Linked DNA regions of Danio rerio. The protein of the gene in region 2 interacts with the protein of the main gene of each other region in a pairwise test. Links are inferred from orthologs where the notes say so. Each region holds a gene or a part of one and is shown on either strand. Other genes may lie near its edges. The genes, in order: csnk1g2a, cert1b and rtn3.

Region 1 (11,029 bases), on a different chromosome or scaffold from region 2:
ATCTCAACCCCGTTCACTCGACAGCTTTGAGAAAAACTAAAGGCTATTGGCTGTTTTTAAAGGGGAGGGGCTAGACTATGTCCTGTCCTCTCTTTATATTTTGGTTGAGATTACATCAAATATCGAATAAAAATGCACACTTCACAGCACTTTAGAGACCTTTCATGCTCATGGCAATCTAACTGATATGTAAAACAACCACTGGCAGTTCAGTGATGTTTAGGGGCATAAAAATGTAATATAAAGTTCCCCCTACAATAACAAAACAGAATGAAAACAAATCTTAACATTTTAAAGTAATGTATGCCATAATCTACTACACATGCTTTTGAAAATCCAGCATTTTGTTGATCATGTTATGCGCTACATGTCACAGTTGTAAACATGTGAGATTTCTTGTACTATGAGGGGATGTGCCACCACGGCAGCTTTGTTTCCAGACAGGCACACAAATAAAATGGCACACAGAAATGCAGAATTCATCCATCAGATGAAGACTTCAAGCAAAACTCGCATTTTTAATGTTGTGTGCTATAATAATAATAATAATCATTTATATTATTTATATAGCGCATTTCTAGACACTCAAAGCGCTTTACACATTGTGGGGAATCTTCTCATTCACCACTAGTGTGCAGCATTCACCTGGATCACACGACGGCAGCCATATTGCACCAGATCGTACACCAGCTGATTGGTGGAGAAGAGACAGAGTGATGAAGCTAATTATGATATGGGAATGGTTAGGAGGCCTTAATGGACAGAGACCGATGGGCAAATTTGGCAAGAATGCCAGGGTTAAACCCCTACTCTTTTTCGAAGGACATCCTGGGATTTTTCACAACCACAGAAAGTTGGGACCTCGATTTAACGTCTCATCCAAAAGACGGTGCTCACTGAGCAGTATAGAGTCCCCTTTACTGTACTGGGGCGTTAGGAGGGCCCACAGACTGCAGGTTGAGCGCCCCTGCTAGCCTCACTAACACTACCTCCAGCAGAATCCTAGCTTTCCTATCTGGTCGCCCCATCCAGGTACTGACCGGGCTTCAGTGGGCGACAATTTGAGAGTTGCAGAGAGCTAGCTGCTGGTATGCATGAGAAGTTCAGCCCGTGGTGTGTGGGCATCACAACCAAGGTTGATACTAGGTACCATGTAACCACTTATCAACATTGATCTATAAGCATTAACGCCCACTGTGTAGATTTTTACTTGATAAAATGCACACATCATGGTAAACGCAAATGAATTCATCTAAAAGAAGTGACTTCTTTCATTAATATTCTTCTGAGCATGGATGATTTAGGTTAGGGCTATCTCCAAGTGATCAATACTGGTTGGTCCATTTAGTTGAAAGCTGGTTTTTACATAAATAATGTAAGTGAGAGAATGTTGTGCGTGCAGTTTCAGTTAAGTGCAGGATCCAGGGTTGAGTCATCTGTGGCACCAGCAGCTCTGAGCATGCGGAGGAAAGCGCTACCAAGCAGGAGGCAGAATGGAAGAGCCAAATAAATATATAATTAAGTGCAAACAAACAGATTGCATAAAGCCCACAGGATGTATCAGATACTCAGCAGTAGAGACAAAAGTACAACAGGTTTTCTCTTCCAGCACGTAACTCCAAAATAAGCTAACGCTGATAGTCTCTCTACAAGTAACTGGGTGAGTCTTTATGAAGCATATGATATATATATAAGTTTTATATAAATTTATATATAAATAAAATGCACATTTAAATGCAAAAACCCTGCCAAGAGGAGTGTAAGACATGATAATGACAAAATGGTAAACGCAAATAAATTTATCTAAAAGAAGTGTGGTTGGTTTTTGTTAAGGAATTTGAAGTTTTCCTACTTCTTAGTAGGGTTGTTGCGATACTATTAATTCATCTTACGATACTATATCAACTGAAGTTTTACAATACCAAATAGTATTGCGATACTGTAATTCATAACTCAAATTATAAAGAAAATGGTTAGAAATTATATATTTTACATGTTCAAAACACTAACTCCTCTTTGAAGGTAATAACTTATTTTTGGTGTCATGTATATTCAATTCACTTCAAGTTTATTTATATAGCGCCCTTTAGAATAAGGATTGTTTCAAAGCAGCTTTACAATAGCTGCGCATTACTGCATTACTATCAAAAAAGTTGAAGAGTTATGAAGAGTTGAAAACAACCCCAACCAAACTAAAATACTCACATGGAGGAAAAACTTTTCATTTATTTTGCAGTTTGCACAGTCACAAACCAGAATAAAAGCAGGTATTCTTCTAAACAACAGACTAAGCACCATTAAGACACTATGAGACCTGCCAATCATACAACAATTATGTACACGAGTTTGAGGGTATTTACTTTGAAATTTTGCAATGTTTTTTAAAGACGTTTCTTATTCATACAAAGACTTAATTTACTTGATCAAAAACACTGACGAAAGTGTAATGTTATGATTAGAAATGCACCGATTGTACTTCCAATTTTTATTTTTATTGGTAATTGTGATCTACCAATATAAATTTTTGCAGAATTTCTAAATATATATATATATATATATATATGTATATATATATATATATATATATATATATATATATATATATATATATATATATATATGTATATATATATATATATATATATATATATGTATATATATATATATATATGTATATATATATGTATATATATATATATATATATATATATATATATATATATATATATATATATATATATATATATAATATATTATTATATATATAATATATTATTATATAACAAAAATTTACCAAATACTTATACATTTATTAGAAAAGAAAGAGAAATGCAGTGTACATAAAAAAACAACTTTGTATGGAATAAAGTAAATGGCTATCAATTTATATTCTAGTATTTAACATATTGTTTTACTTGGTCTGTTTTATAATAACTGAAATTATTCGGCATGATTACCCTGCCAATACTTTAGGATAGACACACACAACAACATAACTGGAGTGATGTTAAGCTGATTTCTTTACTAGCAACAATCCTAGGTGATGTCCAGATTATTTTGGTGATTCTAAAGGTTATATTTGACTATTTTCCTGTGGTGTGAAGTGTGTGAAAGAGTGACTTAATCCGTCAGGAAGAATGTCTGAGGCGCTCTGATCACAAAAGGTACTGAAATACTCAATATAATTTAGCGGGAAATTAACCTTTATAAAATTTCACTACCGATTGATACCCAACTTTTGACAACATGCGAGCCAGACATTACCATATGATACAAAACAACACATATAATCCAAATAACAACTTAGCTGTACGTTCCTGAAAATAATTAGAATGTAGTCAAGTAGTCAAAGAGAACAAAATCGTCACTTGCTGATTAACTGCCACCAAATATTTGCTGTGGTAGAAGAAGCAGCGGGAATATTTTCTTTATTTAATAAATGACTTGCAGCTCAGAAAACAGTATGCCAACATGCAATTAACACGTGGTGGCGTTTGAAGGTGTCAGACATGGAGCATAGACGCCCTTGACCATTTTTGAGGTAATTAATAATTCAATAACACTAAGACTTTTACTTTGTGAGCATTTAAAACTTATTTGCATTTTGGCTTTCCATCAACCGTTTTTTATGTGCAAAAACGCGCACAAAATGCGCATAAAAATAGGTGGATGGAAACGTTGCTTGTGATGTACAATTTGGTTCAAACAAAAAATATGTAAGACTCTTGTCACCAGTACAAGTAATTACATTGTAATAGCAAACACACACACACACACTACAGGCAGCAGTGAAAGTGGACAACAGTGATTTGAGGACTAAAATGACCATAAATGTCCATTTCTTGAAAATGTCGCTATTCACATGTAAACGAGAAAACAATGACATTATGCATGTGCATGTTTAGGAAGGTTTAGATTAAAGTGCACATAAACATACAACAATGACAGAGCACATGGATTTACTTTAAACAACCTAAGCTAAGATCTTACACACACAGCAACTTTTATGTATTAACCAGTGCTCAACCACGTCGTCACTTTCTTACAGGTACTGTAAACTAACAAGGTGACGGCACCAAATACTGGCCTGCCATACATAATACAGCACTTTTGCAAATGCGTGTCGCAAAAACAAATTGAAAACATTCTTGTGTAGAAGTGATTGATTGTTTGTTTGAGTTTTACATCATGCCAGCTTCTATGGCCTTTTTTATGGTGAGAAAAAGTATACTAGAGACAAAGATTATATTAAAAATATATTATTATTTTTTTTACTAAAAATGTTTATTTGGTAGGGATGCTCAGATCAGGATTTTTGCAGCCGATACAGAGTACCAATTTCTTGCCATGGTGATCGGCCGTTACAGAGTACCAATTCTGATGCTTTAAGCTTTACAATGCCGTACCGACCAGTAGGGCTGTGCAATTAATCGAAAAATTGATTTCGGCTTCTAACGATTTTGAAAAAGCATTAATCAAGATGAAACGATTATTGCATCATATACCACCCCCTTTCCAATTGTACACATTTGTTGCTCTGCAAAGCTCAATTTCATGTGAACATTACTAAAAGCATGTACTGTAATGTAATGTTTGCAGCACGGGATGCGCTTCATTCATTGATGTACATTCAAATCATTCATGTTTTAAAAGCGCAAGAGAGAGCACATGCTGCTGTTGTGTGTGCGCGCTCTCAGCCTCAAAGACGAGCAAAGCACACACATCTAAAGTCATCCTAATGTGAGCGCTTTAATAGTTTAATAGGTGTCAAAATGCGGTGTTTAGTGATTATTTAAATTAACCCTCCTTTGTTTAATAAACAAAAGAGTTGAGAATCAAAAGACATGTGAAAGAAAAACCAGAACGGGACTGCTCTTAAAGTGACAGCACGCAATATACCTGCTGCCTACTGTTTTAATCATTAATCAAACAACAAAAGGACAAAATGAAAGACTTTTGCAACTAGATTTAAAGTTTTTTTTTCTTACAATGAAGATGCTTAAAGCACAGTTTGTTTCATATATTTAATCTATTGTATTTATTTCACTTTTCCTACTTACAGTGAGGAAAATAACTAAGTATATATGCAGTTGATTATTAGCCCTCCTAAATTATTAGCAACCCGTTTCCCTCCATTTTTTGTTTAATGGAATGAATTTTTTTCAACCCATTTCTAAATATAATAGTTTTAATAAATCATGTCTAATAACTGATTTCTTTTATCCTTGCTATGATGACAGCACATAATATTTTACTAGATATTTTTCAAAATACAAGCATTCATATTAAAGTTCGATTCAAAGGCTTAATTAGGGTAATTAGGCAAGTCATTGTATAACAGTAGCTTCTTCTGCAGACAATCAAAAAATATATAGCCAAAGGGGGCTTATAATATTGACCTTAAAATAGATTTTGAAATATCTAAAACTGCTTTTAGGCTTGCCAAAATAAAAGGAAAAAACATTATAGGAAACACTGAAAAATTCCTTGCTCTGTAAAACATAATTCAGGAAATATTTATAAAAAAATAAAAAATAAAAAAAATCACAGGAGGGTGAATCATTTTGACTTCAACTGATAATCGTTTTGAATAATCTTGATTACAACTATGATCAAAATAATCATGATTATGATTTTTCCCATAATCGAGCAGCCCTACCGACCAGTACCGTAACGTATTGTACCACTCAGTGAAAACAAGCCAAAAGAGACCATCACTCGCACGAGTCGCATCAATAAACTGTATAAACAGAGGCCACATCACATCTGTGTGTATCTCAACTGCTGTGTTGGGACTGCTGCGATCACTCCCAACCCCACCCCCCACCCCCCACCCACCCCACATCATTTATCTACTCACATGTAGCGCCGCTAACCCGTTAACAAACACCTGCGATCGGTTCATGAGATCGGCAAGTACCGATCGAGTCATAAAATGTGATTATTGGCCGATACCGATTTCCAGCCGATCGATCGGAGCATCCCTAGTATTTGGTTTAACACCGTTTAAAAATTGCTTTAACAAAAACGCAGTGAATAAGATAAATTCCTCACAGAATTAAAACTATTGCAATCAGATAAAGTATGCTTCAACAGTTAAAGTGTTGTGAGATGCGAAACCTTTAAAACAGTTTTGGACACATTGTTGTTGTGTAAATGAAAAGCCCTATTTTCTGTGAGGCACTTACCAGTTTAATGGCCACATATTCATTAGTGTAAAGATTCTTCCCGAGTCGAAGCTCGCCGAAGTTCCCGCAGCCAATCTTCTTTCCCACCCGAAAATTCGGGCCAACCATAAGCACTCCAGTGTTGTTCCCGGAGCCTCGGCTGCCCCCATGCCCTGTCCTGCTCCCGCCAGTCTTAGACATTCTCTTTCCGTCCTCCGCTTCTCCTTTTCCTCCTCCTCCTCCTCTCTTATCAAAATCCATAAGCTTGTGATACCCCGGCCTCTCCACGATTACTCCACTGCCATAAAATCACAGAGCCACCAAAACAACTAGCAACAGGGGTATGGGGAATGGGATGGAGGAGAGGAATTTAGAGAAAGAGAGAATGGAGGGAATGGCTTATCCACAATATGGCTCTACACATGAACGGCTTTTATTGATGGTGGAATCCAAGGGTGATGTGATTTAGGATGAGGACATCATATGGAAATCTTCCTTAAATCCAACCGCAGAGGAGCTCGTTCTTTGGGAGATGGACACATGCGCACGACCCTAGCTGGTGAAAGTGAGATGCTGTCCAGCGTCGGTTTCCATCCTTTGCACCCACTCCAGGTGGTTCTGCAGAGATTTGTCAGGCATTCCCTGTGTCCATGGATGAACACACAGCATATCAAACTTGCCGTTGAGAGGAAACTGCCGGCACATCAGAAGTACATCTTACGATATCTGGGGCAGAGGAAAGGCACAATTAGCACTAAATAGATTGCAAAAAGGTACACAGAGAACTCCACTCTCTTGGCACCTGTTCCACTATGGTGATGAGAGAGTGACTGCACATTTATGTGAAATTTCTGGTATTTATTCACCTTTATATCTTTTTTTAAACATGCCTCACAGCAATATGGTTCGAGTACCGGCTGGGCCAGTTGGCATTTTTGTGTGGAGTTTGCATGTTCTCCCCATGTTTGTGTGGGGTTTCCCACACAGTATAGGTAAATTAGCTAAGCTAAATTGTCCCTAGAATATGTGTGTGAAAAAAAGTGTATGGGTGTTTCCCAGAGATGGGTTGAAGCTGGAAGGGCATCCGCAGAGTAAAACATATGCTAGATAAGTTGGCGGTTCATTCTGGCAACCCCTGATTAGTAAAGGGAATAAGCCGGAAAGAAAATGAATGAATGAATGAATGAATGAATTAATTAATTAATTAATGGAATGAATGAATGTTGGTCATTAAATAGTGTCTTGTCTTGTGACTTGTTTAGTGTTTTTGACAAATGATCTCTTTTTTGTTTCACACCATCACTGACAGATTGGTATCAGCCCTGATAACTTCCAAAAACAAAAGATTTTTATTGATTATTATTACAGTAATGAAAAAAGCAGCATGCAGTATTGTATTTTGTGCAATGCTACATAAAAACACATACATGTAGAATCCATTTGATATCTGATATCCATACCAACACACCCACATATTTATAATTAAATAAATTGAATTCATTTGGCCGGCAGTGCTAAAAAGCAAATAAACAGAGGAGATGATCATTTGCTACACAGGCCAAACCTGTAAATATGTGGTAAAATCTTACCTTTTTAATTATTTAGGATTTTGAGCAGAAGGCACTGGAGAAAAAGACTACCACAGGTCTTAAGAAGAAATCTTTTTTTGTAAATATTAGACTGACACTGTTTTAATTTACTATAATCTTCTATGTTAAGCTGCTTTGACACAAATCAGCATTGTAAAAGCATTATATAAATAAAATTGAATTGAGTTGAAAAAGCATAAAATATATTTAAAAAAGGAAATGAAGGTGAAACATTACATTTTTCACCCAAATGTATGGTGTCTGCAATAATTTATTTCATTTGTTCATTTATTAATTTTTACTTCTGCCTAGTCTCTATTCCTGAGGTCACCACAGCGGAATGGACCGCCAAATATTCCAGCTCGTTTTACATAGCTGATGCCCTTCCAGCCACAGCTTAGTTATGGGAAACACCCATACATACTCACATACATACACACTCACACACTACAGCCAATTTAGTTTACTCAATTCACCTGTAGCGAATGTCTTTGGACTGTGGGGGAAACCAGAGCACCCAGAGGAAACCCATGCGAACACAGGGAGAACATGCAAACTCTACACTGAAATTACAATAACTGGCCCAGCCGAGACTCGAACCAGCAACATTCTTGCTGAGGCAAACTGAGCCAACATGCCGCCCACAATAATTTAATCACAAAAAAATGTAAAAGACAAAAATATATTAATGATTTTGACTTAACCCTCCAAAGATACCTCAAATATTTTAATCAACGTTCTAAATTTGAATGCATGATGTGTTCCTGTATTATTAAACTACAAATTACGAAAATTAATGTGGTGTATATCATCTAGATCAGGGGTCTCAAACTCGCGGCCCGCGGGCCATTTGCGGCCCTCAGTGCAATATTTTGTGGCCCGCGCCGACCGCTGTACTCTGACAGAATCAGCGGAGCGGGGAGAGAGAGCGCTCCCCGCTCCGCTGATTCTATCCATACACAGCGCGCTTGTCATTCAATGCGCGTTGTCGCGCGCGTTCTGATCAGCTGTGTTGTCGCGCGCGTACTCAAGAGCGGTGTTATCACACGCCTACTAAAGGGCGGGACCGAGGGTGTGTCGCGTCGCGGGGGCACTTTTGATCATTTTGGAAGGGCACTTTCTATGCAAGACTAAAAAGGGCATGTGCACTGCACAGGTTGAGCCCTATGTGTGCACGTGCCTGCCCTGCATCTTATATATATTGATATTATAGGTAGATACAGACTGGTACAGACTGAGGTGACTGGAGTGGGGTGGGGGTGTTTTATTTATACATATATACGCCTTTTTTTTTAGGTGAGGGAATGGAAGTTTTGAGTGAGTTCACCCACTTTTTTCCCTAGGACTTCAATAAGTCAAAGTACAGGTCTAGACTTAATGATGATCATCTTCAAGCCATATTGAGGGTCTTAACTGCTTCCGCTCTAAAGCCAAATGTGGTTCAGATTTGTGAGAAGAAGCGCTGTCAAGTCTCTGGCAGCAAGAAGTAGGCAAAAGATGCCATGTTCAGAAGAACTGTTCATAATCTTCACTCAATGTTCTATTAATGTTCAGGACACTTCATGTTCAGAAGAAATAATTAAAACTGTTAATAATGACATTTGAGGACTTTTCTTTGTGAAATCCCTTATGCGGGCCAGCCTCACCCAGACTTTGCCTCCTGCGGCCCCCAGGTAAATTGAGTTTGAGACCCCTGATCTAGATTGATACACAATGAGCAACAGTTTGTTTTCCACTAATAATGAGTCAAGCCACTATCCAACTTATTCTCGTGGTTTTAATCTCTGCCATCACATCATTCAGGAATCAGAAGGCAGCTAAAGCCAAAAATCTGGCATTTGTGATCATGAAAATTACACGAAAATAAAGACAGAACAGAGCAGAAAATGGACAACCGAAAATAAACTCTAAAGCATTTACACTCACACACATCAGAATATAACTGCATATCTTCTCTGCATCTTGAATTTAACAGATTAACAAACCTGACATTGTGTACTGTGCTTGTTTGCTCTTTTTTTCTTTTCTCTTCAGTAAGTTGCTTTGAATAAGACCATTTGATGAATTCATAAATCAACACTTTTATGGTAAGATGATGATGAATAACAACAATTATACCACACCAAGCACAAATCATATTCATACTCAATTTAAAGACTTCAAATAAAGACAGCTCTGCATTATCATTGTCTCCATGAAAAGCACAATTTAGAGTCAGAGGTTTAAGGGACACGAAACCAGAGACCATCTCCCTACAGGAAATGTTATCTAGCGTTTCTGACTTCCAGCTCTAAAAATACATCCCTCAGGAGCTTGAGATGAAGCCTGAGGTCGTGTGAAGACGAGCAAGAGTCATCCTGGACCCAGTGTCTCAGTTATGTTGTGAGCAGACTCAGAGGGAGGCACCGTGCCAGATGTTACAGATGATGCCTTCCATGGGCTGGTTATTTAACAGAGAACAATGCTTTGAGAAAAATACATAAGTAGGAAATTTACTGTTTCTTAAAAAATAAATTAATAAACTAATTTAAACAATAAAAATAAAACTGGGCTGCCACATTTTTTTTTTATAGGAGAACAATACTAAATAAATTCTAAAACGTTAGTTAGTAGTATCACTGATAAACAAATAGACAGTACAACATAAAAGGAATAGTTTAAGCTGAATTTAAATTGCTCTTAATTTACTCACTCTCAAGATATTGAAGATGCAGGTAACAATTTTTTGACAGTTTTATAGGAAGTTTTATCGGCAATAAAAAAAAAAAAAAAATATATATATATATATATATATATATATATATATATATATATATATATATATATATATATATATATATATATATATATATATATATATATATATATATATATATACACATACAGGCAATACAAAATTAACATATGTGGCTCTTGACAAAACCACCGCTTCATAAGACTTGTATAAAACATCTCAAGCTCAATAGAGAGTTTGCCTTTGCAGATCTGCTTGTTAAGTGTGACGTCACATAAAGCAACTTCCAGGTCCAAGCACTCTATCAAACTCTATATGGAGACTCATCAAATTGTAATAATTAAGATTTACAAAGCGCTGTTATACTTTTGAACATCAAAATTGCAATATACATGTCCATGCCTAATATCTGAATGTGATTTTGGTATCATTTTTGATGCAGCAACTCTAGAGACTAATGTGTACACTACGATTTGATATAAAATTCTCTTTAATGTATGATATGACTAAAAAGTGGTCATAAATGAATATTTTCTCAA
Region 2 (10,249 bases):
GGGTCATAAGAAGTAACACATTTAAAAAGCAACTCATGTAAACACCTTAATCTTATTATTGTCTTAATTAGATTAAAGCTAATACTTCGATTACTGATGTCCATGTGAATGTAGTCATTGAATCATTAATAAATACTTGCCACTTGCTTCATTTTTAAATGGATCTGACTTTTTAAATGAATTGTTTGTAGAAGGCTTAAAATACTATGAAATACCCATGATATTGAAGTATGATATTAAATTATAAAGTCTAAATTTATCTGTGAATCCTGTGAATTTTTATTGTCTTCTTCAAATATTTCCCAAATGATGTTGAACAGATTCAGGAATTTTGCACAGTATTTCCTCTAACATTTTTCATCTATAGAAAGTCTTATTTGTTTTATTTCAACTAGACTAAAAGCAGTTTTTAATTTTTTAAATGCATTTTAAGGTCAATATTATTAGCCCCCTTAAGCTTTATTTGTTTTGGATTTTCTCCAGAACAAACCACTGTTATATAATGACTTGCCTGATTACCCTAACTTTACCCTAATTAACCTAGTTAAGCCTTTAAATATCACTTTAAGCTGTATAGAAGTGTATTGAAGAATATCTAGTCTAATATTATTCACTGTCATCATGGCAAAGATAAAATAAATCAGTTATTAGAAATGAGTTAATAAAACTATTATGATTAGAAATGTGTTGAAAATATATAAAATAAATCAATCTCAACAAAAGGATGATAAATTCTGTCCTCAACTGTACATCTTTAAGCATAGCATTGACCTTTTGTGTGGCATGAACATGTGAGTCTATTTATAATCCTGTAAGGCTCTGCTCTGAATAATATCATTAATAATGGAGACCATCATCTGATGAGTAAGCTCAGTTTGGTCTGTGTAAGCATCATACACTCTTACAACAATTTTACATGCTTTAATATGATGACTTACCAGAAGACTTTCAGGATAATGTCTGCCCAGAAAATTTAGCCGTACCTGCTGATGGTCACTGTCCTGATTAATAGTGATGTATCATGGGTAGAATTACATCTCATCCATCTTTACTGCCGTGTTTCAGCCTTTAGTTGGTTTATTTTTAATGCTAGACAGATACCACAACACATGCTGGCTCAGTGGCTACCACTGCTGCTTCACAGCAAGAAGGTTGCTGGTTCGAGTCCCGGCTGGGTTAGTTGGCATTTCTGTGTGGAGTTTGCATGTTCTCCCCGTGTTGGCGAGGGTTTACTTCGGGTGCTCCGGTTTCCCCCACAGTCCAAACATATGCGCTATAGGTGAACTGAATAAACTAAATTGGCCATAGTGTGTGTGTGTGTGTGTGTGTGTGTGTGTGTGTGTGTGTGTGTGTGTGTGTGTGTGTGTGTGTGTGTGTGTGTGTGTGTGTGTGTGTGTGTGTGTGTGTGTGTGTGTGTGTGTGTGTGTGTGTGTGTGTGTGTGTGTGTGTGTGTCTGTAAATATGAGAGCATATGGGTGTTTCCCAGTACTGGGTTGTGGCAGGAAGGGCATCTGCTATGTAACACATATGCTGAAATAAATGGTGGTTCATTCCGCTGAAATAGAGACTAAGCCGAAGGAGAATGAATAAATGAGATGCCACAAATAATATATTTTTAAAAAGAAATAAAAACAACATGCCTACATAAACACTTTATTAATTTATATGATGAGAAAAATGTAAATGGTAAATTTTATTTTAAAATGATCTAAATCAAAAATATTAATTAATAAATATTAATAAATAAAGCAACATGTTTACATGTTTTTCTTTTACTTTCTGTGTAACATATATATTTTTAGATATAAAAACAAAAGTGTTTAGATACTGATGAAAGATCTCATTTTTGTCTGAAACAGACAGAATATTTGTTATATCTTTCAAACGATATGAGCATATTTAAAAATAAAATTGAATAAATAAAGTAAAAAACAAAAACAATCAGTTGTCAATCTCGTGGCATGTTTTTTTGGTTTTACTTGGCATATTTTACATGCACAAACATCTTTTTTTATTATTAGATTTTGTAATACATAAACACATTTACATGTAGTTTATTGTCCAAGAAACACAACAAATGTGCTCAAATGCAAAATATAAATGCAAATTTACAGGAATTCAAATGTTTCCCATATTGTTTTAAAGATATTAAAAAATATGTTAGGAGTTGTTGAACTTACAGAGCTGGGTGCACCTCTAAAAAGATCTAAAGGACTCAGACATGGCGCCGAATGAATCTACACTGTTTTTCAGCCTTCCTAAAGCACACAAACACAGCTAATATCTTAATAAAATACATGTTAGCCATTTAGCAACAAAACTAGAGTCGCCGCGCAGACAGAAGCCCTGGCCATGACGCAAATTCACATTTATTGTGAAGCTAATTTGGCGAGTAAACTCAAAATGTTCACGCATCTGTTTACGCATGAATCACACAATTTATTTGCGCATGACACGTCTGGTGTGAACACAGCATTAGGATTTTACTTGACATGTTTTATTCAGTACACAAATGGCTTTATTTATTAGATTTTGTAATACACAAACACATTCACATGTAGTTTATTGTCCAACAAATGTGTTTATATGCAAAATATAAATACAAATTTACAGGTATTCAAACTCTGCCCATATTGTTTTGAAGATATTAAAAAATATATCCGTTCTGAACAAAATCTACATCTTACATCAGTATCTAAACATGTTTATTTTTACATCTAAACATAAATGTTACGAAAAGAGTTTCTTTAAATTATTATTGTCCCTCTAGAAAACAAATACTCCAATTTTTCAAGGTTTATTAAATTATTATTTTAATTGTTACTATTTTAACTACTTTAGTAAAATAATAGGAATTTAGGGCGTACTCACACTATGTACAGTTGCCTTGAACCGGGCCGAAGCACGCTTGTCCCCCCCAACACCAACTGCCAACTGACCCAAACCAGCTGCCTTCTTGCTGTGGGGCCACAGTGCTAACCATTGAGCTACTGTGTCGCCGGTCTAATATTCAGTTCAAGTTTACTTGTATAGCGCTTTTCACAATAATAATGGTCCCAAAGCAGCTTCACAAAAGGCGCACATCATTACATTCCAGTCCAAATCAGAAAGGTTAAAGAGCTGTGTAAAGGCTTGGCCGTATCTAAACGTAATCTTCATCTGTGTCTGCAGCTACTGTAGAAAACTTCAACATTGTGGAGACGTTGTCCGATAACGCCATCATCATCTACCAGACTCATAAGGTGAGGAGAGCGAATAAGTTTACACTGCTGTGTGTAATGCGTCCCCTCATGATCATTTCCCTGACGGACTGTTGTGTGTGTGTTCAGAGAGTGTGGCCGGCGTCCCAGAGAGATGTCTTATATCTGTCTGCCATCCGCAAGATTATGGCCAATAATGAGAACGACCCAGACACGTGGCTCGTCTGCAACTTCTCCGTCGAACACGACAACGCCCAGGTGAGTCTGGTCTCCATGGTGACCGCTGCATTTGTGCCGTCTGTTTTGTTTTTTTTAAATATATTTTTATTGAACATTTTTTTGTGCAAAAACAGGTCAGAAAATTATATTGAGTGTAAAGATAACAGAAGTTTACATACACTGTATAAAAGGCACATAACCATTTAAAAAAGGTCAGATGTTAATGTGACTAAACTTTTCCTCTTTTAGGTAAGTTAGGATGATCAAATGTGTTTCTGTTCTGCTTAATAGCAGAATAATGAGAGAGATTTTGTTTGAGAAATTGTTATAACTTTTCTTAAAAGTCAAGTTTACAGACAATAAGATTATTCTGCCTGTGAAAGAGCTCAGATGATGATGTCAAGGTTTTGGAAGTTTCTGATTGGCTAATTGACAACATTTGAGTTAATTAAAGGCACAACTGTAGAATAGTATTGAAGGAAAAGCTCAAACACACTGCTTCCTTGTGTGACAACATGGGACAATCAACAAGCCAGAATCAACAACAAAAGCCAGATTACAATTTGCTAAATTTGGAGACATGTCCTGTGCTCTGATGAACTAAGATTGAACTGTTTGGCCATAATGAGCAGTGTTACATTTGGAGGACAAAGGGGAAAGCCTACAAGCCTAGAAACACCATCCCAACTGTGAAGTATGGGGGCGGCAGCATCATGTTGTGGGGCTGTTTTGCTGCAGGAGCGACTGGTCCACTTCACAGCATAGATGGCGTCATGAAGAAAGAACATTATGGAGAAATACTGAAGCAACATCTCAAGACATCAGCCAGGAAATTACAACTTGGCCACAAATGGGTCTTCCAAACAGACCATGACCCTAAGCATACTGCCAAACTAGTTCAACTGTGCTTTAAGGACAACAGAGTGAATGTTTTGGAGTGGCCATCACAAAGCCCTGATCTCAATCCTATAGAAAATGTGTGGGCAGAGTTAAAAAGCTTTTTCAACTATTGTGAGAAGCTTATGGAAGGAGTCCCAAAACATTTGACTAAAGTTATACAGATTAAAAGCAAAGCTAAAATAATACCAAGGAAATGTGTGTGAATATTTGACTGTCTAGAAATTAATAAGAAAATTCTCAAAATAAAGTTCTCTCATTATTCGGGGCATTTAGCAAATGTAAATGATTTAGGTAATCCTAACGGACCTAAAAAAGTAAACGTTTAGCATGATTTACCATCACACATTTTTAAAAATGGTTATGTTCCTTATTTATAGTGTATGTAAAATTCTGGTTTCAACTGTATAAGTATTTGTGTGTGTATGAATATGTAATAAATATATTTTATCTTTATTTTATACTATTAATTGTTTAGTTACTAGTCATTTTTGCCATGCATTAAAATAGAGCACGATTATGTATTGATAATATATAGAATTTTAATCTGATGTGTGTATGTAGTATCTAAATATGATGAATTTTGATTTAGATATGATATGGTGAATATTCATATTTTTTGAAAAATGCTTATGCAAATTCACCAATTTACATTATGGTATATGTAATTATTAAGAAGAGGGTGTAGTTAGCATGTAGGCTAGAAAATGACAATTCTGTAATATTTAGATTTATGGCTGATGGTATGTTTTAATGCTTCTGTCTTTCCATAGCCAAACAACAGATGCGTTCGAGCTAAAATCAACATAGCGATGATCTGCCAGACGCTGGTCAGTCCACCAGAGGGAGACAAAGAGATCAGCAGAGACAACATCACATGCAAAATCACATACGTGGCCAACGGTGAGACTCGCTGCTCAAATAGTCTTAAAACACCGAAAGAGAGATTTTAATAATGCAGAAATATTAATATATACAGTTATGTGAAAAGGCCAGGATCATTTTGTCCTGATGATAGTAAAACTGGAATTCAATAGGGTGTCCTTAGAGTTATTAGCCCTCCTGTTAAATTAAATTTTTTTCATATGTCTTCCACCAATTTTTTATTATTTTTTTATTTATTTATTTTTTTAATTTTGCCCTCAACTGTATACAAGTTATAATAACGCTGAATGAATGTTTTGTGAACGCAGTGAATCCGGGTGGCTGGGCTCCTGCATCTGTCCTGAGGGCCGTCGCTAAGCGAGAATATCCCAAATTCCTCAAGCGCTTCACTTCCTACGTCCAGGAGAAAACTGCCGGCAAACCCATCCTCTTCTGAGCACAGGTACACCACATGTATTAACTACACCTGACTACAGAAGTGGAAAATGTATTGGGTAAAAATAATTAATGATGCCTTGTTGAATTATTAAAAATGTTTGCACACCCTTACAACGTCAAATCTGCATTATTTATATAATAATTCAATGTACTGGAGTGCATTATTGCACTTATACTCTCTGGTTCCCACAGCTTTATATTTTTATTTAATTTGTTTGTTATGCAGTTTATTATTATTGTTTTGTAATTAGTTATATTAACAGCTGTTATTATATGCATTAAATTATCTTTTATCTTTATTGCTGTAATTATTATATCAGATTGTAACATGTACTAGGTAATATGTGGGTATTGTAATCAATTTTACTTTAATTAGTTTTTTTTATTATTGCATTATTGTGAAATGTAACTAGATTTTTTTTCCACATTAAGTTTGTCATTTTAGTTTATTATTGTTATTATTATTATTATTATTTAAATATTTATTTTGTCTTTCCTAATATTTTTAATATATTTATTTATACGTAAATAATATATTCATAAATTATGTCTTTAAACTCACCGGCCACTTTATTAGGTACACCTGTCCAACTGCTTGTCAAACAAATTTCTAATCAGCCAATCACATGGCAGCAACTCAATGCATTTAGGCATGCAGACATGGTCAAGACGATCTGCTGCAGTTCAAAGCGAGCATCAGAATGGGGAAGAAAGGGGATTTAAGTGACTTTGAATGTGGCATGGTTGTTGGTCTGGGCTGGTCTGAGTATTTCAGAAACTGCTGATCTACTGGGATGTTCACGCACAACCATCTGTAGGGTTTACAGAGAATGACAAAATAGGTAACAGTTACTCAAAAAGCACTCGCTACAACCAAGCTCTGCTGAAGAGCATCTCTGAACACACAACACGTCCAACCTTGAGGCAGATGGGCTACAGCAGCAGAAGACCACACCGGGTGCCGCTCCTGTCAGCTAAGAACAGGAAACTGAGGCTACAATTCACACAGACTCACCAAAACTGGACAATAGAAGATTGGAAAAACGTTGCTGCTCTGATGAGTCTCCATTTCTGCTGACACATTCAGATGGTCGAGTCAGAATTTGGCATCAACGACATGAAAGCATGAATCCATCCTGCCTTGTATCAGCGGTTCAGGCTGGTGGTGGTAGTGTAACGGGGGGTCCAACCCGGTATACCCGGTGTACCTAATAAAGTGGCCAGTGAATCTATGTGTGCTGTATTTTATTTTTTTATTTTTTTATTAATTGGCTTTGTTGCAACATGTATTGTTCATTTTTCAACATGTGACCTCCCAGAAAATGCTAACGGAATTGATTATTGTGAAATGTAATTGTATTTTTGTGTTGTTCGCAGTTTCCCGGTTGAGCTGTCCGTGTGTCTGATCTCCAGCTCTGCACTCCAGCGCCCTCTAGTGAACAGAAAAACACACTGCGCCTCTTTTTTCCAGACTGTTCTGAATCTGCTGCAAAAGTTCATGTAGCGCCACACTACTTCACACAGCAGAGGACGCACCACAGATATCTAGATTCATACAAATATAAGTCAATGTATGTATGTAAGTACGTCAGATGGCAGGTTTATATATAAATATATATATATATATATATAACGGGAGAGATTTTGAGACAGGCTCTGTTTTAGTCCTGATTATTAGTTGTTTTTTTTTCTTTTTGAACAAGCATTTCAGCTTTGCTTTCATTGTCTGCGTATATTCGCCAACGTTCAGATTGTTCCGGCGTGTTTGTAAATGTCGATGTTTCGCCGTCTCTTTTATGAAGCGCAGAATGAGTCGCTGAAGAAGAGATGAAACGAACGATTGTTTTCTTTTGTTAATCCGTGTCTGAAACACCGTAGCACAAACCCAGATCGATCATAACAGGCAAAAAACACAATTTAATACGTCAGATTATTTGTGTATATAAGTTCATTATCGCTTTAGATGGTCAGTCGACGCTTTAATCTGACTAATTCAACTCCATATGCCTTAGCAAGTGTGTGTGCGTGCGTGAGTGTGTGTATGTGTGCGCGACTCCAAACACTTCTAGAAAAGTGCCTCATTATTGATCTTGCTGATCGCCCACATCCATTATATCAGAACGACTTTATACGAAAAGAAAACATTTCACGACGATTTCTTACCTCGTATTATTTAAATGTGATTTTGCAATCAGATTGTGTCATCAGAATAGTGGCATCTTATTGGAGGAGCCCTGATGCCAATCAAATTTTTTCTGTCCAATAGGAGGATGCCGTTCGAATTCGGGGGCATAGATGTAGATTTACGTAGTTAGTTGAGTTTGTTTGTTCGTTTATTTATTCGCTTCTTTTCTTGGTTTAAATTTGTACAACGTAAATTTATTCGTACAACGTAAAAATCTAAATCACAAACTATTTGAAACAATCGAACAAGGCACAAACAATTTTCATCTTGTTTTTTTGAGATCCGGGAAAAGATTCGGTAAATAAATTTCGGAATTTTTTTTTTTTCTGAAAAAAAAAAACAATTTAAATGCTTAACATTTTAAGTCTCGTTTTTTGAAAATATGTTAATGTTACGTGATTTTATGCTTAAACCACAACAAATTGCATATTCTTCGAATTATGTAAACACATTTTTATTATATTAAATAAATAAAATTAATTAGAAAGTATAAAGCTAGTGTATTTTTTAACTCGGTATTTTAAGCATAAACTCCCTTAATTTTCATGCATTTTTCAAAATCTTGATTTAAAACGTATCGTTATTTATCAGAAAACAAGACGAAAATACTAAGACAATAAATTTAATTGCGACGTTATTTTTTTTTTTGCTAAACATTTTCATTAGTCAAACCTACCCACAAAAGACTGTTAAATACAAAGTAGTGGACGACGAATAGCCAAACGTAGAGCAGATGCACGATCACAACATCCGAGTATTTACGGTAACATTTCAACTAGATGCGATTTTTCAAAACGGTAAACTCGTACAACTTAAACATTCCAATCGCACTCGCTGAACCCGAATGTACGAAACCACCAGAGCGAAACCGTAAACAAAACTGAATGTGTTACTCTAAAATAAAACAGCTGTTTACTGATTGGACTGTTTTTGGTGGAATCGGCCAATCAGGAGAGAGTTGAGTGGAATTAGTCAATCAGGAGAGAGTCGTATTAAAATGGCAAATCAGAAGATAGTTGGGTTGTATGGGCTAATCAGGAGAGAGTTTTGCAAAATTAGCCAATCAGGAGAGATCTGTGTGGAATTAGCCAATCAGGAGAGAGTTGTGCTTGTGACGCGCGTCGCTCTAATACAGTCTAGTGTTTTCTTAGTTGCATTGGCACTGAATGTAATGTCATTGGGTTCAGATGTTTTCGTGTACATACGTGTCACTCGAGGTGTCAGGATGAACATGTACTGTGAATAGAGGGCCCAAACGCTGCCCTGTTTAGAGAGGAATAAAATGATTGACATCTTTCTGCACTCTCTGACTCTTGTGCTCGTTATATTTGTCTAATTAATGTTGGTTTGCTTGAAGTTTAGTTTTTTCTCTCATTTTTAAGTTTTCTAATTATTATTTTGTGTTATTGAGATGCTTTTATTAATACTTTTATTATAATTCAGATTATTTTAGAAATGTTTTATTTTTTCACTTTAAGTTTTAAATATTTTAGGGTTTTTTATTTGTATATTAATTTTAAATATTAATTTTGCCTTTATTTTTGTGTGTTATTAAGATGCTGTTATAGCTTTTTATTTATTTGACATGTTTGATTTATATTTCATTTACAATATTTTAGGTTTTATTGTATATTAATTTTAAATATTAATTTTGCCTTTGAGATGACCGTCAAAAATGCTGCCTAAGCAAATATTTTCAAATACATTTATTTATATATAAATGATATTTCTATAATTTACAAATATAATATATTTATTTAAATATATTAATCTTTGCACGCTCTAGCTGCAATTAAATCAATAAGTATCATATACATTTTATAATCATTGTTATATTATTATTATTATTATTAATAATAATAATTATATAAATTATATTTTAATATATTTGTTTTCATTCATTTTCCTTCAGCTCAGTCCCACAGTGTAATGTACTGTCAACTTATCCAGCATTTGTTTCACACAGCGGATGCCCTTCCAGCTGTAACCCAGTACTGGAAAACACCCATACACTCATTCACACACATACACTACAGCCAATTCATTCATCGATTCCCTTTATAGCATGTGTTTGGACTGTGGGGGAGTCCGGAGCAAACCTACGCCAACACAGGGAGAACATCCAAACTCCACACGGAAATGCCAACTGACCCAGCTGGGACTCGTTCCAGGGACCTTCTTGCTGTGAGGTGGCAGTGCTAACCTCTGAGCCATGCAAAGCTTTGCTCCCGCCCTAATCAGACACACCTGATCCAACTAATCAAGGTGTTCAAGACTACTTGATTATTTGGATCAGCTGTGTTAGAATAGGGTTGGAGCAAAGCTGTGCAGAGCTGCGGCCCTCCAGGAACTGACTTTGAGTTGCAATAAAGCACAACTAAACACTTGTTTTGTTTATTATAAATAGCTGCATAATCAAAATATC
Region 3 (10,763 bases), on a different chromosome or scaffold from region 2:
TTTTTAAACATGATATTTAATTCATCTTGTCTTTATCTAACGACTCTTCTGTCTTTTGAATCTATCAGGTAATAGGTCACAGCATCAGTACACTGCTTCAGTCTTTCCTTTTTACGCTTGTCCTTAGTAATTTTAGCAAAAACCTGTTGGTTGTGCACCTTTTTTACCAACCAAGTTTGTCGATGCCATTATAACAACACAGATCACTCTGCCTATTCATGCCAGAATCCCGTAGAAAAGTAATTGAAAGGTTGTAATTTGTGCTTAACTTATCTTTATTTATTTATGATTTGATTGTGGGTAAAACGAAGACCAAAGACCAGATATTTGAAATGGTGTGTTAGGCTACAAAAAATTAAGAATTACTTAATTATTCATAAATATATAATTCACCGCCGCCTACAATGACAATGCCATCGTACATTGCAATGTTTTACATTAGACATCGTACGATGCCAAATTGGTTGACATCGCCAAACCTAATTGGAAATTCTAAAACAAATCTAAAAATGAGCACACATCCGAATTGCAGAATAAGGTCAATAAAGGTCCTGTATACTTCAAACAAAATCAAAAAGGAAACAGATATAATGTCATTTCAAAGAAAATCCAACCAAAACAAACCTTTATTTGAGCTCATTTTGGTAGTTTGAAACTGCTCACCAAAGCAAATTGTTGAGGGAGTTCCTAAACCCCTTTGAGCGTCAATTGGTCCATAATGATTACGTAATCGGCGGGTGCTTTCTGGAAGTCTGTCTTATTTGATATTTGATTAACATCTCATATCCATGGAGGTCAAAGAGGAGAACAACAGCAAGCTAGCAACGCGAGCAGCGTGACACATTTACAACCCACCTACTGCAGCTTGGGGGTGTTGGAGTGTTTGAAAACAGTAAAGCGTCACTCAGCCATTTTAAAATTCTTTTTCTATCAAGCAAAGAATGAAAAATATCTTTGTTTGAAGTATGTCAGGGCCAAGTCTGCATGTTCTGTGTGTATGGCATGGTTGTATTTTTTGTATCCATCCTCTCAATAAGCCTTGGTGTTTTCAGCATCTTCCATCTCACTATACGAGGACATGAACTTCACCTCCAGAGCTGATCTGGAAGTCACTTCATGAGCAGTTTCAGTTAAGAAACATCATGTAAATGAAAATTAAGTTAAGAAAGAAAGCATACCATGTTTGCACAGAAACTCCCCACATAGCAAAATTTCTCTGGCCCAGCTCTGGCCCACACAATCAGGTTTTGCTTGGCCCACATGCCGCAGTGAATTACGGTACATGACTGGACCAAATCTGGCTTCCAGACAAGGGCCAAACACGGACCATATCTGGGCCAAGTCTCAGCCAAGTTAATAACTCATAACTGGGCCTGAACTGGGCCAGATAGGTTGGTGTGTCACGATTGCAATGAAATTGATAAACCCATGGAGTGATGCGCTTTAGGCACACTATGGGCACGCTTTTTCTCAAAGTGACCTGATTGGTAGAATTTTTTTTCTTTACTCAAAAATGATTTTAGTGTATTTTAAATGTGGGTCAAGACTGGCCAAACTCAAATGGCCCACTTATCAAATTTTTAAATCTGGGCCGAATACTAAGTTTTTCATCTGGCCCAAATCCTGTGTGCCGCCTTAAAGACGGTGCCACCTCTGCCAAACCCGGGCCATGTTTGGCCCACATGCTGTATGCCAGTGCCGGATGAATGCCTGATGTCCCAGCTTTATGCCAAATCTGGGCCAGAATTCTTTGCTACTAGGGTCAAGCATCTTCAGTTTCTAAAATGTCATTGATCAAAAATATCAAATATCCAAAAATAAGATGGGACAATTTGATTAAATTGATTTCATAATGCCTTTCAACTTACAAAATTAGGTTTGTCACATGTAGCTAGCCAGCAAACATTCAAAAAGGAAATGCTGTGAAGTTATCCAACACAACTGATTCTGTGATACCATCTATTGCAAGGGCAAGGGTTAAATGCACCAAAACGGCTTGTGTTACAGGGCGATGCTTAAAGTGGGACTGGATTGACCTCTGACACTGGAAGAGCCTGTATGGCATCTCTGTCATGCCAGCAATATCAGCTCTATTCCCGAGGAGACTGAATCATGACACCTAATGCTTTAAGACTGCTGTCTCAGCCAGCTGTACTAACCTTAGGGTTCACACCCAGACAGAAGGGAAAGGCAGTGAGACACTGTTTTCTGACAAAGCAAAAGAGAGTATCGATACAGCTAGAGTAGATTATTTATGAGCCGCTCTCTTGGTCCTGACATATTTTGAAAAACTGTTCTGCATTAAACAGAAGTTAAGGTCTGCCAGGAACTTCTAGGCGTAGCTGACAAAACGCTTTTGGGATGTTGACATGCACAGTGTTGTTGAATGCTAATATTTTTCTATATTTATATGAATATACTACATGCTACATTTATTGTAAAGGCTATGTATGCACCTTTAATGAACTTAAAATTAAATTTCATTTAAATAATCTTGAAATACTGTACGTTTGTTGTTTGTTTCTGTTTAACACAATATTAGCTTGTATGGCTAATTTAAGTGTGTACTGCAGTTATACATTTTAAAACATTTTAAAAAAAACTCAAACTTGAAATTTGATTTAACAGTGATACAAATATCTTTAAAATAAATTCCTCACAAAAATAAAGCCTACTGTACTTAAAATTTATGCCAAATTCATTAATTCCATGTCAATGTGGCTTCTGAGTCATTCAAAATGAACTAGAAAACAAATAGAAGAACAAATTCTGACATATCGAAATGCTTAAAATATTTTACACATTAAAATATGAACCTTAAGTCTATTTAAATGAAAGAAATAGTAGTGTGCTGTGAATAACTACAAATAATTGTGAGTTTTGTGACTAATTATGACTTAAAAAGAAAACCTAGGGCCTATCATTGCATGCTTGCTCAACAGATTTCCAAATTAAAGTGCCAACTGTCAGTTCAGAGCTATCAATTGAGCTTAACCTGAATTAAACCCAGAACACTGCAGTAAAACAACACTGGGCCAAGTCTGGCACAATTGACCAGCTTATTATATTCGTTTAGTCATTTGTGTTATGTTATGCACCGTCCAATGATTTATAGGACTTTTTGATCATGTCTTTGAGAGCCAACGCAGCTACAATTAACCATCTGGTCCACTGTCACCTTCACATATGGTGTCTGTGATAGTAAGCCAGCGTGACAGTCATGTTTACATCCAGCAATATTCAGATTCTGATCCCCAACTGAATTCAATGCGTCCAAGTTCAAGAGCTAAAAGCAGCATTTGAACTGAAGGCATCAAACGACTTTAAAATTGAGAGCAGGGTGACGTCACAAGTCTTAACTTCACGTTCTAATTCTATTAGATTCCCAGACGCTTTAATGAAGCCAAAGCAAGGAGGCCAGAAGCGCTCCACATATGCTGACGACCTAAAAAGCTGTGAACCAACATCCAGTCATCCAAAACCACGCCGCATTGTTTTCACAACGGAAAAATATGCACGAACCAAACAAAGGCCTGTGTATATCATTTCATTGTTTTCAAAAGGGAAAACATACACAAACCCAACAAAGGTCAGCATGTCATGACGGCAAATGTGTAAATATGGACAGGCTAATAAAGCATTCATTAATGCAATAAGGTTTGTTTAGCGTTTATAAAATAAAGCATATGTCTTTAAGCCTGTGCTTAAACTGCAAACAACGTGACAAGCAGGAACAAATTATTAAGAGAGATTTTTTTTGCATGTACTTAGACTTGACAGAGGCAACTTGATTCATTTATGTGAACTGGTTCTTTCATAAACTGGTTTTAAATGACCAAAATCATTAAAGGCAATCAGTGACAAAAGTCTTTTAACGATTGCCAATCTATAAATGTCTTAAAGGGCTGAATAATGTTGAAAATGTTGCAATATTTGCTTTTATCTGCAATATAATTACATACATGAATGGTTATATATAATTTTACAATAGAGACATATTAAATATTGCTTTGTTTTTCGGAAAGTCTAACAGATTCAGGTACTGAAATTAATTAATCAAATGTAAAACACAACTGTTCTGTCATTATCATATTAAAGAAAAATCACTGTTAAAACATTTTGATTTCTTGTGCTTGAATACTTTAAAACTCACTTTAAATGCTTACAGTCACGAGCCTTAAAACTGATAAACTTTCACTCACATATTTATTATAGTTCAACTTTGCAATGACGTGTTCTGAACTGTTGTGCTGGTCAAATATACTCCAGACTTGACATTGACCATCTTGCCTTGTAACTATTGCATAAACGCACGTTGCGATATTTATGCTTAAACTAATAATCAATAACATTAGCTATGTTTCCATCCACCTATTTTTATATAAACCGGTTGATGGAAACGCCAAGAAGCTTATAAATTTAAAAATGCGCATAAAACACATATGCACATAACCGAGTAGAATAAACGTTTTTGTTCAATAAGAAAAGATGCGCATGAATTGTGATGTAAACACTTTACTGAACAAATTCCAGAGTGCGTATTAAAAAGGTCAAGTGATCTTGTTATAAAAGATCATGTGATGATAAAAATGTGTGTGAATGGACAAACCAGCAGGCTGAGCACATTGTAAAGCATCTGAAATGTTGTTTTTCTCATTCTAAAACCTCTTAACCATTTCAGTACTAGTGTTATTATATTATTAATGACCTCCAGAACTGTCAACAGCATCTGTGCTCTGCGTCTCACACCTTCAAACGCCAAAACACGATCATTGCATGTCCGGATTGCCTTCTGAGGCATTTATTAAATGAAGAAAAGATTCACGCAGCTTCTCCTACTGCAGCAAATTCCATTTTTACTGTTGATATTTGACGGCAGTTAATCCGGAAGTGATGATTTTGTTCGCTTTGATTCATTGGATGGAAATAATGCCTTATTTGAATATTTTTTATGCGATATTCCAGTTTAATTCACATTTTTAGAAGGAAACCTAGCTAATGTTTCCTTTACAAATCAACATGATTTCCAATGGTTGTGGATGCTTATCCAAACATACAATCTGGTTCCATATTAAAAGTTTTTCTGTCTTTTTAAAGACTTTTGGCATCAATCACCTAGCATGCAAAAAAAAATTTTCCAATACAAAATCCATTACAGCCACACGCAGGCGTATTATGGTTTCATCAATGAAGCATTTAATTAAATTTGTATTTAGTTCAATATATTGTAGCCATTACAGTTACAAAAAAGTTATTTACAACAAAAATGTTATTATGCACTAATAAAATTGTTACATTTTCCAATAAATAAACGATTGCTTGAAATGATTTAATTAATTCATCTTAAGATTCAACTCAAAAGAACGATTTATAATAGGGTTTTAGACAGCTCTGTTGATTATTCCAGCTTGTCACGTCGGTAGTAATGTAGATGGGTGTGTGTGTATGTAGGTTTTCCCTTGATTTACACGGTCCTCCAGTTTCGGATGCATCTGCACTGCAGATCATCAGCTGAGCCGCAACATGTGCCCATTTCAGCATGGGTTCAAAGAGGTATTATGTGTCCTCATATTTCTCCCTGGCCTTTTCCTAAAAATAAACGTTAGGTCAAAGCTGTGGATGAGAACACATTCATTCTGAGTCTGACATCCGCCATGATATTTATCCCTACAAAATGTCAATATAGTCTTCCTACAATGCCCAAGAGGAGGCGTTATGGAAAGTGTACGTGAGAAATAAACAGACCAACACCATTACATAACACGAGAGTATCCCAATATTAGACTCAACCCATTTTAAGCATGCAAGTTCATTCGAATCGATCTGAATCAGTGTGTCGGTTTGTATTGTCATAAAATGCTCTAGTCAGAGTGACCTGCCAAAAGCATTTCCACCAGTTCCGTTTTAGAATATCCACGAACACACGTTCTAAATTTAGAAGCAAACATAACCAATTTAACGGCAGTGCTGCATGTCGTTTGCGTTGTCTTACCGGAAAACTTTGAGTCTTTAGACGCTGCAGAATGTCCATCGTTTAGGCCTTGTGACGACGAAATCTGAGAAGATTGGGTCATTGGGTCTGCCATTTTTTGTCGCGCAGCTCTACAGGGTCTGTAGTATAGAGGTGTCGATTGAGGTTTGGATTGAAACTCTGAGCGGTCCCGATTCACCGAGTATTTCCCAGTACAGCAGCGGCGTCACCGAGCCTGCACAAGCACATTAGGTGAACCTGCCTGAATGTTGCAGTGGATGGGGGCGGTGGAACACATATAGGGCGGGTACATATGAGAGAGAGAGAGAGAGAGAGAGAGAGATAATAGGGTGAGAGGTCGATGTTTTGCATAAAAGTCTACGCCATTAAACTATAAAAACTATAAAGATACTGTGGCTGACTTTTTCTTTTCTTCAATTTTCTTCCGTTCAATTAATTATTTCATTTACAACTAAAGACTTGTCCCATTCCGACAGTATCACGTGTTATAAACTGTGTTTTTTGTATTAAAGTATAATTAAAACTATTTTATGCTTGCTCTATCAAAGTAAATAATATCTGATTCTACAGTCTCTATCTTGACCATCCAGACAGTTGTTAATCCTAAAAACTGCGGACTGTTTTGGATTAGGTTGATGTCTAATCTATCCTCGTCTACTTAGAAATGATACACTAAACACTGTGCAACTGTATGGGATGTGATTATGTAATGCTTTTCGCATTTTAGCCCTGGATCTTTATTTCTTACCATGACAGTAAATGGTGGATCTGTATTTTATTTCATGTGCAACAGCGCCCCCTTTTGGTTAACCATAGTGTTGCGTTTATAGACTGTAAATAAAGGAGTCAAGTTTTTAATTAGCAAGGTTTCATTTACAAATTCATCCACGACCCAATGTAGAGTTACGACATGTTGCATTTTTTGTAGTGTAGAGGTATACTCCTACTTAATTTTCAGAACTACAGTGCTCAGCATAATTGAATACACCCCATGAATATGAACATGATTATCCATTTTTCAGTGTATAGGCATTGTATTTTGGTGCATTTAAACAAAACAGATTTATTAAACAGATATAATTATTAAAATAATATTTTAGTCACCAAATATATTTAGAAATTGAAAGATAATACAATTAAATTTAAGCAAAATATTGCAAAAAAAATTACAACCTACAAAATTTCTATTAAATGTAAAAAAATTTTGCTTCTCTTAATTTTTCCTCTTTTTAAATTTGTATTTAATATTTTTCTATAACATATACATTTGGTTGTACTAGTTTTAGGGCCGTTATCGTAAGTTATTTTGTTAGATAAGCTCCAGATTTGGCTTTAGAACCGACTAATGTAATGCATATGCACAAATATAATATTGTACTGCTTCCTATTAAAAATATGAATTTAAAAGAGAGATTTAAGAGGGGTGTACTTATATATGCTGAGCACTGTATCTGACTGTTAGCAATTGGTTTTCCTTTTGGTTGTACAAAAAGAATGTCAAGGCCATTTTTTAAGCAATTAACATCATGTTTGTTGCAGGGACGTTCCCAGGACGTTCTAGAAACATTCAGGGAGCGTTATGTGTTTGCTGGGTTTGAGCTGAAACTTTACAGACATATTCTGGAGACACGAAAGGCTTATCATAAATCTTAAAAAAGGGGTAAAATAAGTGCCCTTTAAAACTTTGAAAACATTATCAATGAAGACTAATAACAGTTGACGAAGCTGATGTACTTTTTTTTTATGTTAACAAATTAAGACAGTATATGTAATCCTGACTCAATCATCTATAATTAAATCATATAAGTAATTGATAGTGTTTTTATTGAATGTAAAACATAATGGCAAAATCACAAATACAAATAGGTGTGTATGTTATGTTTACAGTTTCGGTACTAATTATAAGTCATTTAGATTATGCAGACTGTTTCCACAACACCAGATTACATTACGTTTTAAACTACCCATAATCAGATTACTGTTAACCACTTTGACCTACTTGGTAAATATTTCAAGTTTATGTCATTGGTGCTAGGTCAAAAGTAATCCAAAAGTAATCCAAGTACGTAAAAAGTAATCCAGAATTGTTATAAAATAAATTACAAAGTAATTTTGAAATCAGCAACAGGTGTGGTGAAAAGATTACTGAAACATCATACTCAAGTAAAAGTACCATTAAAAATGTAGTGCAAGTAGAGTGAAAGTGTGTGTTGTAAATATTACTTAAATAATGAGTAAAAGTACCCAAGAGTAGCGAGTATTACACTCTGAAAAGTTGATGTGTTTTCATGCAGTTTGTGCAGGGATGTGTAAACGTAACATTCTGTAGTCCATTTAGTGATCTTCCTAAATTTGTTCCTTCCTTCCTTTTTTCCTTCTATTGTTTGTTTGTTCTGTCCTTCATTAATTTGTTTGTTTCTTCCTTCATTCCCTCCTTAATTCGTTCACTGATTCATTCATTCTTTTGTTCCTTTCTTTATTTGGTTATTTGTTCATTCATTCAATCGTTCATTCCTTTCTTCCTTAGTTGTTCAGTCCTTTCTTGATTGCTTCCTTCATTCATTTGGTCCTTCCTTCCTTCATTAGTTCAGTCCTTCCTTTCTTTCCTTGTTCGGCCCTTCCTTCATTTGACCCTTCCTTTCATTCTTCATTTGTTCCATTTAGTGATTGTTTAGTGCTGTTTGGCAATTTCAGTCATCATGCAGTCGACATCCTTCATTTTCTCATCAGTGACATGCCGTCTATAAACACTCTCTGGTTCATAGCGTATGAAGATCTTCTTGGACATTTGTAATGCTTCCAAACGGTTTGCTGCATTTATAAAGCAGCCATATCTTGATGTTGTTCAGTAGGATGTGATTTACTTTCTATGTGGGATTTGATTAGACGGGAAATACAGAACTGATTTTCTACTCAGCCAGTACCCATAGATAAGAAAAAATAAAGTAGTGACTCCAGGTTAAAGTTTTTTGCTAGATCAGATCCAGTATGCTTGCGGCCGGAAGTTAACAAGAATTATTTATTCATTTTCTTTTCGGCTTAGTCCCTTTGTTAATCCGGTGTCGCCACAGTGGAATGAACCACCAACTTATCCAGTACGTTTTTACGCAGCGGATGTCCTTCCAGCTGCAGATTCCAGATCTCTGGGAAACATCCACACACTCCTTCACACTCATACACTACGGACAATTTAGCCAACCCAATTCACCTCTACCACATGTCTTTGGAATGTGGGGAAAAGCGGAGCACACGGAGGAAACCCACGCGAACGCAGGGAGAACATGCAAACTCCACACAGAAACACCAACTGACCCAGCCGAGGCTCGAACCAGCGACCTTTTTGCTGTGAGGCGACAGCACTACCATCTGCGCCACTGGGTCGCCTGAGATTTATTTATATTATTTATTAAATTTCCTACTTATTGTATTAAATTAACGTCTACCCCCACCCTAAACCCAACCGTCACAGTAATGTTAAAACAGTAGTAGTACTGAGTATTATTTATGCTATCTATTAAATTACCTATTAAATTTTAGTTTTTAACGCCGGCTATCCCCACCTCAACCCTAAACCAAACCGTCATAGTACTGTTAAAATATTAATTATTGTTAGGCCTATATAGTGTCATAAAAAAGGCTGGTATTGATGTGCATATCGCACTTCCAGCCGACCGCATATGCGATCTAGACTTTACCCAGGTTGAAGGAAAATAGTGGAGTAAAAGTACCAATACAGCACAAAAGAGGGACTCAAGGGGAAGTATACAAATTTAAAACTAACGTTACTTAGTAAATTACAATTCCTGAGAAAAACTACTCAATTACAATGATTTGAGTATTTGTAATTTGTTACTTTACACAACTGCTGGCACAAAATCAAAAGTAATCCAAAGGTAATCCAAGTAGCGTAAGTAAAAGTAATCCAAAAACATTATTGACTAAATGACATGGTAAGTTGAAAATCAGCAAGCAACAGACTAACGTTACGCTTTGGAAGTAATTTAGTCAATACACACCAATGAATGTAAGGTGCACACCCTACTTTCGTCTCCAAACACTGGCGGTGATGTAGCAAAAACTGGCTCGCCAACCGTCATTAATAGCAACGATGACACTACTACATTTCCCAAAATGCTTTTAGAACCCGGAAGTGATCTGTGAACAATAGGATTGCCCGGTTCAACGTTTTGACGTAGGAGCAGACTGTTTACGTCTCTGGCGTTTTGTAGAAGCTTCTGTCCTTTGACTGCGCGGCAAAAGCAAGGAGCAAAACAAAAGCATGTGGATGTAATTTCAACAAAGGTATGTTTTGTGGATGAAACAACGCATCGCGTTATTGTTTAGAAAGCAAGGCTAGAACAATATGTTTAATTCAAAACGCCCTCTAACCTAGAAAAACACCAGAAGCTGATATTTTGTGCAAGCTAGTTAACGTTAGCTGCAGCAGCATCATGCAGATGTCCACACAGGCGCACATGGGTTGCTGTTGCGCTGTTTTCATTGCTCAAAAATTCATGCACTGGGTCGTTATTGATAGCATCTTGCATGGCATTCTTTTATTATGTCTGAATACTGGTTGTTTAAATGTAACTCTTGGTATCAGTGGAGTATACTGTAACTTACCTCGAGCTTATGCTTGAGGTAAAACGTTCAACCTGTCTAATGTCAACTCTAGCCAATCCAAAAGCTTTATTTTGGATTTGACAGCTAATTAATCCAATTTAATGTTAAGTTTTACATTTGGGACATCAAGTGTGGCTATACACGTGTC

The links.
Region 1: the proteins of cert1b (region 2) and csnk1g2a interact in binary tests that used the Homo sapiens proteins (3 or more experiments, as listed by UniProt). The two-hybrid records come from large-scale screens. The link is inferred for Danio rerio from reciprocal best matches to the Homo sapiens genes CERT1 and CSNK1G2.
Region 3: the proteins of cert1b (region 2) and rtn3 interact in binary tests that used the Homo sapiens proteins (3 or more experiments, as listed by UniProt). The link is inferred for Danio rerio from reciprocal best matches to the Homo sapiens genes CERT1 and RTN3.

What each region holds. Positions count from the first base shown.
Region 1 is NC_133177.1:26,373,629-26,384,657, reverse strand, and holds the start of csnk1g2a (casein kinase I), read right to left. Parts: upstream 6,648-11,029; 5' UTR 6,429-6,647; coding exon 6,189-6,428; intron 1-6,188. UniProt on the Homo sapiens protein: Serine/threonine-protein kinase. Casein kinases are operationally defined by their preferential utilization of acidic proteins such as caseins as substrates. It can phosphorylate a large number of proteins. Participates in Wnt signaling.
Region 2 is NC_133196.1:3,164,380-3,174,628, reverse strand, and holds the end of cert1b (ceramide transfer protein), read left to right. Parts: intron 1-3,171; coding exon 3,172-3,242; intron 3,243-3,329; coding exon 3,330-3,458; intron 3,459-5,089; coding exon 5,090-5,219; intron 5,220-5,509; coding exon 5,510-5,637; 3' UTR 5,638-5,643; intron 5,644-7,016; 3' UTR 7,017-9,126; downstream 9,127-10,249. UniProt on the Homo sapiens protein: Shelters ceramides and diacylglycerol lipids inside its START domain and mediates the intracellular trafficking of ceramides and diacylglycerol lipids in a non-vesicular manner.
Region 3 is NC_133182.1:17,684,093-17,694,855, reverse strand, and holds the start of rtn3 (reticulon-3), read right to left. Parts: upstream 6,255-10,763; 5' UTR 6,087-6,254; coding exon 5,993-6,086; intron 1-5,992. UniProt on the Homo sapiens protein: May be involved in membrane trafficking in the early secretory pathway. Inhibits BACE1 activity and amyloid precursor protein processing. May induce caspase-8 cascade and apoptosis.